Sus scrofa: one gene and its partners. The protein of the gene in region 2 interacts with the protein of the main gene of each other region in a biochemical or structural test. Links are inferred from orthologs where the notes say so. Each region holds a gene or a part of one and is shown on either strand. Other genes may lie near its edges. The genes, in order: CUL1, UBE2M and NAE1.

The links.
Region 1: of the proteins of UBE2M (region 2) and CUL1, one has a biochemical effect on the other in vitro, tested with the Homo sapiens proteins (7 studies listed by BioGRID). The link is inferred for Sus scrofa from reciprocal best matches to the Homo sapiens genes UBE2M and CUL1.
Region 3: of the proteins of UBE2M (region 2) and NAE1, one has a biochemical effect on the other in vitro, tested with the Homo sapiens proteins (4 studies listed by BioGRID, with this or other methods). The link is inferred for Sus scrofa from reciprocal best matches to the Homo sapiens genes UBE2M and NAE1.

The regions. Positions count from the first base shown.
Region 1 is NC_010451.4:109,503,551-109,507,200, forward strand, and holds part of CUL1 (cullin-1), read right to left. Parts: intron 2,866-3,650; coding exon 2,691-2,865; intron 129-2,690; coding exon 1-128. UniProt on the Homo sapiens protein: Core component of multiple cullin-RING-based SCF (SKP1-CUL1-F-box protein) E3 ubiquitin-protein ligase complexes, which mediate the ubiquitination of proteins involved in cell cycle progression, signal transduction and transcription.
Region 2 is NC_010448.4:63,105,720-63,109,400, reverse strand, and holds the start of UBE2M (NEDD8-conjugating enzyme Ubc12), read left to right. Parts: upstream 1-785; 5' UTR 786-1,221; coding exon 1,222-1,330; intron 1,331-2,452; coding exon 2,453-2,547; intron 2,548-2,655; coding exon 2,656-2,694; intron 2,695-2,806; coding exon 2,807-2,910; intron 2,911-3,203; coding exon 3,204-3,267; intron 3,268-3,351; coding exon 3,352-3,492; 3' UTR 3,493-3,681.
Region 3 is NC_010448.4:27,516,097-27,519,746, forward strand, and holds part of NAE1 (NEDD8-activating enzyme E1 regulatory subunit), read right to left. Parts: intron 3,140-3,650; coding exon 3,053-3,139; intron 2,575-3,052; coding exon 2,482-2,574; intron 1-2,481. UniProt on the Homo sapiens protein: Regulatory subunit of the dimeric UBA3-NAE1 E1 enzyme. E1 activates NEDD8 by first adenylating its C-terminal glycine residue with ATP, thereafter linking this residue to the side chain of the catalytic cysteine, yielding a NEDD8-UBA3 thioester and free AMP.

The DNA of each region.
Region 1 (3,650 bases), on a different chromosome or scaffold from region 2:
TCGCGGCGAACCCAATGTCTATTGAGGTAGGCACAAATCCCATTCAGCACTTTGCTTGAAAATCGGTAATCTTCCCACTGCTGAGTGTAGAACTTCAGTACACTCTCATCCATCAGATCTTCTCCGTCCTAAAAGCAAGAGAACTACAGCTTTAAGATGAAGAGCTTGTCATGTGATAAATTAAAGCTAAACATTCAATGAAACATCCACTGCAGTAACATACACCGAAGGGTATGGTTTTAGATGACTTCTTTAAATGATTCTGTACGGGCTCATTTCTATAAATTCTCCAAAGAATGTAGTTCATGAGAATTAGACTAAAGAGAAGTTTAACAAAAATTCTTTTATCTCAAACTGGAATTTTTCATGGTATTAAATATATAGATTAAAAAAAAAAAAGACTGACCCTTTAGAAGGTGAGGGTAATTCCTTTATATTAACAAGGAAATTACCTCAACCACCCTGATTTTTATTTTTTCTATTAAAAAATTTAAATCTCCAATAAACAACTGAGATCTTAGGGCGAAAACTATTCAATCTTTCAATGCATTTCTGCCTTCATTAAATTTACTTAAAAATTCTAAAAATCTAGAGCTTTTCATTGTAATCTCTTGCATTTTTGTAAAAATAACAATATACAGTATAATGGTACAAATGTTTCTCCTTTAACAAGTCCTCACAAGAAAAACATTCATTTACCAAAATTATTTTCACTGAATTTCTACAACCTAAACAGCAATTTTTTACTTGAAGAAAATGAACCTGAAGCTTCTTCTCAGGAATTAATGACATCTACAAAGTGAAGCCTTACCGTTCAAAAAGGGAGCATTAAATTGCACTGTCAGTAAAATGTGCTGGAGCAGAACACTCCAGGGGAACCTGGGAGGGAGAAGCTTCCTCCAGTGAACTAAGGGCCTGGGGCAGCCCCCAACTTCCCTCAGCCTCAGGGCCTTCAACTAGCAGAACAAAAAGCTCCACAGAACCGAAGGTCCATAAACACACAGTGTACAAGCGATCCAGTGAGCTCCATGAAAACCTGACCATACTTCATACAACCAAATTTTCGTTCATTTAAATTTAAATAAGAAATGAACCCCCACATGTAAAGCTAAGCTCTTCTGGATTATAGTATACGATCTTTTTAAATACAAAAATAGGGAGTTTCCGTTGTGGCGCAGTGGTTAACGAATCCGACTAGGAACCACGGTCCCTGCCCTTGCTCAGTGGGTTAACAACGATCCGGTGTTGCCGTGAGCTGTGGTGTAGGTTGCAGACGCGGCTCGGATCCCGAGTTGCTGTGGCTCTGGCGTAGGCTGGTGGCTACAGCTCCGATTCAACCCCTAGCCTGGGAACCTCCATATGCCGTGAGAGCGGCCCAAGAAATAGCAACAACAAAAAAAAAGACAATACAAAAATAGTATCACTGATAGCATGGCTATCAGTACCCAACATGGTATATCCCTCAGTTCCTCCTGTCTAATACTAAAGATAACTGGAGTTCCTGTCGTGGCTCAGCAGAAACAAATCTGACTAATATCCATGAGGAAACAGGTTCAATCCCTGGCCTCGCTCAGTGGATTAAGGATCTGGCTTTGCTGTGGCTGTGGGGTAGGCTGGCAGCTGTAGCTCCAATTTAACCCCTAGCCTGGGAACTTCCATATGCTGCGGGTGTAGCCCTAAAAAAAGACCAAAAAACAAAAAAACCCTAGAGATAATTGATTCCAGTGTCCACTTAACAAAGTGCTGTGACTCAAAGCAAGAAGGACACAGTGGCCTCAGCAAGGCATTACAAGCACACTGTTTAGAGAACGTGAAAATACTCTTGTTCCTAATTTGTAGTCAGTCAACTATTGTCTGTCAGGATGATGTTAGGTTTCTAGGTACCTTGCAAATATTAAGAAAAACAATTTTGGAGCATGCTGAAGCTGCCTGTTATCTATATAAATCAATAATCTTTAAAATATATACACAGAGAGTGCAGACTTCCCAGGGCAGAGTGCACAGATGTCTTCACACGCTCCACAGTGTGTATAGCACCAGGAAGAGCCACCTGCCCCTCCTGTGTTTAGATGGAAGGTACCACATTGCCTTTGCTACAGAGGATGGAGTCTGAGGAAGAAAAAGGCGGAAGATGAAGGGGAAGAACTCTATCACTGCCCGAGCAAAAGGAAGGAGTGAGCAGTGGCCCATCCTAGCCAAAGGCACAATCACACTGCAGTTCTGACCATACCACATGACCATGTGTAAAGACAAAACCACACCAGAAATGTGATTACCCAAATCTGAATCTTTGCAGTCATTTACATGTCTTGATGCAGAATAGCACGCTGGCTTCAAATTACAACATAGGTAATTTGAATTCATAATTACATGCTTTAAAAAGTTCACCAATATCTAACAGCCAAATACCAAGTGGTTAGTAATTTAAGGACAATACTATATGGCATAGGGCCATCAAAAACTTCCAATTTAACAAATTAAAGAACAGAATATGGCTTACGAAGATTTCATCTTCATAATAAGTAATTGACTAAGCAACAGCAAAGATCTTCAGGCACTTGTCAATGCCAAAATGCCAATGACAGTCAATGCCAAATGACAGTGAAAGACTATATTTAACTTAGAATCACTATTTCATTTTTTAAAAACATTCTATTATAAATGCTCAGTATATATGCAAAACTTCTTACCTTAAGAAGATTTGTCAAGTAATTCTTCAAAAATTCTTTAAGTCGTTTGTATAATTCCAAGCCAACAAACTGAGCTCCTCCAGGCGTCTGTCCTTTTTTTGATTTAGAAGGAGGGACACCAGCACCTCGTGCTTGGTTTGACTGGTGAACACTTGTGCAGTAGTTATAAACATGACTTGGAGAAAAGTCAAGGACATCAACATGTATCATCAATGTCCAACAGTGACTAATGTGACCCTAATTTTACAAGACATTTTAGTATCAATGTTTCCCATGTATCAGCATAAACCTGTTACGCTAGAGTGGAAAAAAGATCGCATTCACACCCCAATAAAGCTAAAACTCAGCCGGCTGAGGAGGAGGACAGAAAGTTCTGGAAGAAGACTGCCAAGAAAACTCTGGATCTCTAGATTACCTAATGCCATTACTTGTGGGAAACTGTCTCGGGAGAGAAGGTAAGAAAAGAACTGGCAAATGGTACAAAGGAAAGTTTGCAAATGAAAAGAAAAAAGCAATTATCTACTTCAGGAAAAACAAAAAGCTATAACCACAGTCTATTATAATGCTTAGCTATATGACTATTTCTAGAATCAAACATGACAAAAATAAACAAAACATGATTTTAAATCATTTGTAAATGAATTTTTTAAAAGTTACACTGAAAATGAAACATGAAAAGCGAGGACATGTCAGGGCAAGAGATCAAATCCTAGACTAGGGCAGAGAAGTCACGGAGGCCCGAAGCTGATGAATCACAAAAGCACACTGGCCACACACTATGGAGAGCAACAGAAATGTGCGTTCTATTTTGTTATAAACTTTAATACTATTTCAGTTTATCTGCATGTACTTTACGTAGACAAAAGTAACAGAAACACCAATACTGAATCAGAAAGAAAAATCATGACAAAGAATATTCTGGTATATTTAAGAACTTCCTATATAAAGACTATTTCAACT
Region 2 (3,681 bases):
CCGTGGTAACATCCGGAAGTCGGTGAATCCTTCGGCGCTTCCTCCCGCCCCGCCCACCGAGGCACGTTGAACTGTGATTGGAGGGGAGGCTAGCCCCGCCCACAGCACGCACACCTCGAAAGGGCGTAGGGCGCCTCTGCCAAACAGGGGACACGCGCTGGGAGGCCGTGCCCCATGTTCCGTCTCCCGTGTAAATTTTCGCAGTGCTTGCTATTCTCTGCCACAGTACATGTTTTATTCGTTAGTTTACCTAAACCGGAGTCTCTGCGAGCGGGTTCTTCGGTTTGCAAGGGGACACGGAAGGTGCTGGACCCTGCACCCTCTAGGCCTTGCTCAGGCTCTGGCCCTGACCCTGCCTCAGCCTATGACCCGCAGGGGCAAGCACCTTGTTTGACCCACCTTCGCTGCCGTCCGCACGACTGCAGATGGGAATGGCTGGACCACAAATGAAGCGGCCCGCATCTGCCCCACTTAAAGACGGCCGCAGCACCGCCCCCTCCCTGGCTCCGCGGGCGTCCCCGGAAGTGACCACGGGACGGTCTGCACGGACGGAAATGCCCGAGCCTAGCCGAAGCAGCCCGATCCCCAGTCCCACCGAGAGGCAAGGCAGAGGGGCGGCGGCGGCGACGGCTGCTGCGCAGGCGCACAGAGCAGTTCGGGCGGGAAGAGCCGAGGCGGGCAGGCGGCGGAAATATCCGAAGCGGTGGGGCGCCCGAGGCCGTTGCAGACCTCCGCGCCGAAGCCGCCGCTGCCGCGGAAGCCGACACTCCTTCCGTACGCGGCCGCCTCCCCCGAGGCCCTCGCCTCCCCCCTTCCACCTCTAGCCGCAGACGCCCCTCGCGCAGGGAGCGAGGGAGCGCGCCAGCGGCGTAGCCAGAGAAGCCGGCGTCCCCGCAGCAGCTGGCCCTCAGGACACCGAAGTGGGCGAAGGGGAGGAGGGAGCGGCGGGTGGGGCGGGGCCGAGCGGGCCCGAGGACAGCCGAGCGGGCCCGAGCGCTGCCGAGCGAGCCCGAGGCGCCGGGCCAGGCCGGAGCCGACTACGGGAGCCGACGCGGGCCGCGCGGTGGGCGCGGAGCGGCGCGGCAGGCCGGGCGGGTGGCGGCAGCAGCCAAGAAGGCCGCGGCGGCGGGTCCGAGTGGCGGAGGCGGCGCGGGCGGCGGCGGGGGGCCGGGTGGCCGGGGTCCCGGGCCCCGCAGCGGCGGCAGCGGCGGCGGCGGCAGGATGATCAAGCTGTTCTCGCTGAAGCAGCAGAAGAAGGAGGAGGAGTCGGCGGGCGGCACCAAGGGCAGCAGCAAGAAGGCGTCGGCGGCGCAGTTGCGGATCCAGAAGGGTAGGAGGTCGGGGGATGAGGGTGGAGGTCGGAGGTCAGAGCCTGGGTGAGGGTGATGTGGTCGCCAGGGGGGTCAGAGATGTCGGAAATGGGGTTGCGGATGTGGGGATTGGAGATCGGGGCCCTGGGGGTGGGGGTTGGGGGTAATACAGTCATTGGAGGGGTCAGAGATGGGAGGCCTAGGATGGGGCGTTTAGGGAATTCCGAATGCCAGGCGTTTGATACTAGGAACCGGGAATCTGAGGGTCACGCAGTGGAGGGGGAGGACCAGGGATTCGAGAGTCTGGGGATCAGACGGGAACCTGGATGACAGGCAGAGGAGATACAGATAGCGGGGGCCGGGATTGAGGAATGGAGTGAGAGACAGTGTTTTATGCTGGAGCCATTAGGAATCAAGAGTCAGACGTGGTGAAGTAGGTTAGAGTCCTGGCATTCCTGGGTCAGGGGGCAGTCACATGGCAGTTTGGCTTTGGGGTGACACGAGGAGGAGAGGGATAGTGTGTGCCAGAGATTAGAGAAAGAGAAAGGTTGAGTTTAAACGATCACGCTGGAGATGCAGGTAATCTTATAGTCAGAGTGGTGTGGGTAGGAGGGCTGGGGACCCATAGATCTGAGGGTCAGGTGGGTACTTGGGTTTGGGATGACAAGCAGAGATGTAGATGAACGGTGGGGCTGGGGATTGGTGGAGGGAGTGATTTAGGGGGTGGGGAGGAATAAGTTCCTTGAGTGGGGACTCCTTTAGAAAGTGGAGGTTATGGCCAGGGATCCTGGGTGTGGGGTAGTCAGGGGCTTGATGGGGCATTTGGGAGTTGGGTTGGAGGGACCCAGGTGCTGGGACCTGGGACTTAGGGCTGTGGATTCAGAAACACTGGAGCTTACCCTAGGCAAGAAGCTCAGGTACAGCCACGATTAAACATGCAAGTTTGCAGTGTGTTCTGTAGATCCACAAGACCCTACCTGGGGATTGGGGAGCAGAAAGAGCAGGGAGGGGGTTGGGGATGTGGCCCACCGCCCAGGAGAGGCCCCTTCGAGCCCTGGCGGAGGCGGTGGGAGCTCTGCTGACGCCAGCCCCTTTTCTGAGCACCTTCCTTTCTATTTCCTTTCTCTGCTGTGTAAACCCAGACATAAACGAGCTGAATCTGCCCAAGACGTGTGACATCAGTTTTTCAGATCCAGACGACCTCCTCAACTTCAAGCTGGTTATCTGTCCTGATGAGGTGAGGGCACCCTTCACTGCGTTTCCTCAGGTGGGAATACCTGGTTCACCTGCCAGGCCCTGCAGGATGGGGTGATGGGGTCCTACTTCCTCTTCTCTTCCCTCACAGGGCTTCTACAAGAGCGGGAAGTTTGTGTTCAGTTTTAAGGTGAGTCCCAGGTGGACAGGGGTGGCTCCTTGGGCTGAGAAGGCAGCAGCGGAGGCTCCAGCCAGACACTGCTGGGGCATTATCCACCTCCCCTCTCTCTTCCTGGAGCCAGGTGGGCCAGGGTTACCCGCATGACCCCCCCAAGGTGAAGTGTGAGACGATGGTTTATCACCCCAACATTGACCTCGAGGGCAACGTCTGCCTCAACATCCTCAGGTGAGGGCACTAGCCCTCCGCTGCTCTCCAGCCCTGCCCGCCAGGCCCCCTTCATGGCCTTGCACTGCACCTGTCTCTGCCCCTTCACTCCCCCTTGTGGTCTCTGTCCCTGTCTCTTCATCTCCTCCTCATGGCTTGACCTTGGCTTTCTCCCTGGCCTGTCCTCTGCACCCTCCCACTAGCTTCTCACATTCACACTGTCCCATGCCCTGGGCTTGACCTGTCCAGTCCCAGCAGGGTCTGTGGCAGCTGCCCACTCACCAGCCCTTGACCATGATGCTGTCTGCCCACAGAGAGGACTGGAAGCCAGTCCTTACGATAAACTCCATAATTTATGGCCTGCAGTATCTCTTCTTGGTGAGTAGAGTTGGGGGCTGGGGCTGGGGAAGGTTGGCCCTCTGCTCCTTGGGCTTGTTGACCCCCCACCGCTGCTGGCCACAGGAGCCCAACCCTGAAGACCCACTGAACAAGGAGGCCGCCGAGGTCCTGCAGAACAACCGGAGGCTGTTTGAGCAGAACGTGCAGCGCTCCATGCGGGGTGGCTATATCGGCTCCACCTACTTCGAGCGCTGCCTGAAATAGGGTTGGCGCCTACCCACCCCTGCCGGGGTCACTAGCCCGGGCATCCCCTGCAGATATTTATTGGGGGCCACAGGTGGGGGGGGCATGGGAGAGCCGGTGGGGGAATCCCATGCCCTGGCCTGCCACCCCTCCCTGCCACCCGCTCCTAGTTTGTTTTTTTTTAAACCACCATGTGATTAAGGTCGGCAC
Region 3 (3,650 bases), about 36 Mb from region 2:
AGGAATTCCCATCGTGGCTCAGTGGTTAACGAATCCAACTAGGAACCATGAGGTTTCGGGTTCGATCCCTGGCTTCGCTCAGTGGGTTAAGAATCTGGCATTGCCATGAGCTGTGGTGTAGGTCACAGATGTGGCTTGGATCTGGCATTGCTGTGGCTGTGGCATAGGCTGGCGGCTACAGCTCCAATTAGACCCCTAGCCTGGGACCCTCCATATGCCACAGGTGCGGCCCTAGAAAAGACAAAAACAAAACAAAACAAAAACAAATCGAATAGAGCAGATACTATTAGCATCATATCATACTGAAAGAACTGAGACTTGGAGGGAAATAGTGACTCAATAAAGATCAATAGATTCAACTGATAGAATGTGGATTTGAATCTAGGTTTAATTCCAAAGCCTGTGTTCTATGTAACAGCTAATTTCCCAAGGTGGCTCCACCATGAACACCTCTTCATGCCCTCATGTAGTCCCTTTCACTGTTTTTCTAAATTAATGTGTAGTTGATTTACAATGCTGTGCCATCCCCTTTCACTCTTAAGGTCTAACGTGGACCTATGAAGCCAACAGAACATGGCATAAGTGCTGCTGTGTGACTTCCAAGGCCAAGTCATAAAAAGCCTTGTACCTTCCACCTGGGTCTTTGGAATGTTAACTCTGGGGAAGGCAGCTACTATGTAAGAAATCTAGGACTGCCAGGCTAGAAAGGAAGCCTCAGCTGACCATATGAAGAGATGCCAGCAGCTGCAGATATCCCAACTAAAGTGCCACACATGTGAGTATGCTTTCTTGGATGTCTATCTCAGTCAAGCTTTCAGAATGACTCCAGCCACAGGTCATTCCATGAGATCCCTTTCCCCCCATGAGAACTGCCTAACAGAACCCAGCCAATCCACACACAAGACAGAATAATTGATTGTTCTAAACTACTAAGTTTGGGGGTGGTTTGCTATGTAAGAGATAACCAAAAATACACCTTCACCAAACAAAACAAATAAAGCAACATATATTTGGTATTTATTCCTTTTCCTTTTTCTGGTAAGCTTGCTCATTAAGATTATAACTCAGAGGTTCCCGTCGTGGCGCAGTGGTTAACGAATCCGACTAGGAACCATGAGGTTTCGGGTTCGGTCCCTGCCCTTGCTCAGTGGGTTAACGATCCGGCGTTGCCGTGAGCTGTGGTATAGGTTGCAGACACGGCTCGGATCCCGCATTGCTGTGGCTCTGGCGTAGGCCGGTGGCTACAGCTCCGATTCGATCCCTAGCCCGGGAACCTCCATATGCCCTGGAGCGGCCCAAAGAAATAGTAAAAAGACAAAAAAAAAAAAAATTATAACTCAGTGGGTATACTACATCAGTTTAGGCAACAGGTTTCATTTTTTAATTTTTTTATTTTTTAGGACCACATTTGCAGCATGTAGAAGTTCCCAGACTAGGGGTCGAATCGGGAGATAGAGCTGCCTGTCTATACCACAGCCGCAGCAACACCAGATCCGAGCTGCATCTGCAGCCTACACTGAAGCTTGCAGCAACACCAGATCCTTAACCCACTGAATGAGACCAGGGAGTGAACCTGAATCCTCATGGATGCTAGTCAGGTTCTTAACCTGCTGAGCCATGACAGGAACTCAGGGCAAGAGGTTTTATGATACAGCTAGAATGTCCTGATATACAACAATCTGAACAATTAAAACTATCACCTTAGGGAGTCCCCATCGTGGCTCAATGGTTAACGAATCTGACTAGGAACCATGAGGTTTTGGGTTCGATCCTGGCCTTGTTCTGTGGGTTAAGGATCCGGTGTTGCTGTGAGCTGTGGTGTAGGTCGCAGATGTGGCTCAGCTCTTGCGTTGCTGTGGCTCTGGCGTAGGCTGGCAGCTACAGCTCTGATTAGACCTCTAGCCTGGGAACCTCCATATGTCACGGGTGTGCCCTAAAAAAGAAAAAAAAAAAAAAAATTATCATCTTAATAAAGACATTCTAGGCAACTGAAGATCTTTGAACATACGCCAAGTCCCCAATTACCACATTTACAGATAACAAAAAACAGATAATAAGCAAAGAAACATCTTTGGAGTTCTCAGTTCATAACTCACTGGCATACTTCCTATGCTCTTCCACTCCACTAAATCAAACTCAGTGTGAGTCTTGGAAGAAAACTGTAGAAGCTGACAGGAAAAAAGGCTTTATTCTACACACATTCAACCAACATTTCTGAACTCTGTAACAGTTCAGAATTAAAAAATATTTGCAACTGGCTACACTTAAAACACAGACAGTTTAAAAAAAAAAAAAAAAGTGGAAAAAAAAGAAATGAAACAAATAGTATTGCCTCACTGAGATGAACCAGGTAGTAAATTGACTACAGCATGAATTCAAGCATCACTACCGTAAACACCTTAAGAACACTTTAAGATTTCATTCCATTCAAGTATTTATTTACGATTTTATTGTATTTGATAAGTGTATTGCTTTTCTTACCTGGGTATCTACCATGCTGTTTATGAAATCTATCAACAGCCCGTAACATTAAGTATAATACTATCTCACTATCTGGATTGTCCATGCTGGAAACTGAAAGGAAAAAAGAATCTCAGTAGCATCTGGATAATTCATGACATAAAAACAAAATGACTGAATTTACTATATACTCAGGTTTTAGAATACAAGGCAATTCTATCACAAAATTTAAATATGTTGTGATGGTAAAATAGAAAATGATAAATAACAGTAAAACAAAGGGAGAAAAATTACTAAGATGAAACCCAATGGCCTTCTGAACTATTAGCTATGGTCATAAAATCTTTACTAAAGTAGTAACATGCTGACTTTAGCTCTTCTACATATCACACAACTTAATGACCTAAATATGATTTTATGTATATATTAAGTTTCATATTTTGAAATGATGACCACTTGGATTGGTTTATAGAATAAAAATCACAGTATAAGTATTTACATTATCCTTTATATTATCACCATTCAATTATACACAAAATATTTACACCCTTAAAATTAATTACTAACCTAGCATCAAAAGGTTATTACTTACTAATTTCATCCTTGTTAACTGTATCCAAGCCATATTCTTCAGCTAAGGACCGACATCTTACCACTCGAAGAAATGCGGAATTGCTGCCTGAATACAGGAAAGACATTATGGAAGTAAATGGTCAAGACACATAAATATCCTGAATCACAAATCACTTAAAGAACAGGAACTTTTGGGAGTTCCCATCGTGGCACAGTGGTTAATGAATCCAACTAGGAACCATGAGGTTGTGGGTTCAATCCCTGGCCTTGCTCAGTGGGCTAAGGATCCAGTGTTGCCATGAGCTGTGGTGTGGGTCGCAGATCTCGAGTTGCTGTGGCTCTGGTGTAGGCTGGTGGCTACGGCTCCAATTAGACCCCTAGCCTGGGATCCTCCATATGCCACGGGAGCGGAACTTTTATGTATGTCTTTACAGACAGGGAAATATGAATAAGTGTCTTCTATTTGGTTCTAATGGTTAGCAGAGAAGGCTTTGAACACAAGTCATCTTAAATCCATGTCCTTGACACTACAACCAGTTCAGCACTGAAGAAGTAGATGATGGTACCACTCTGAGCCACTCTGAGCCTGTTTTCATTTGTAAAGTGGAGATATATTC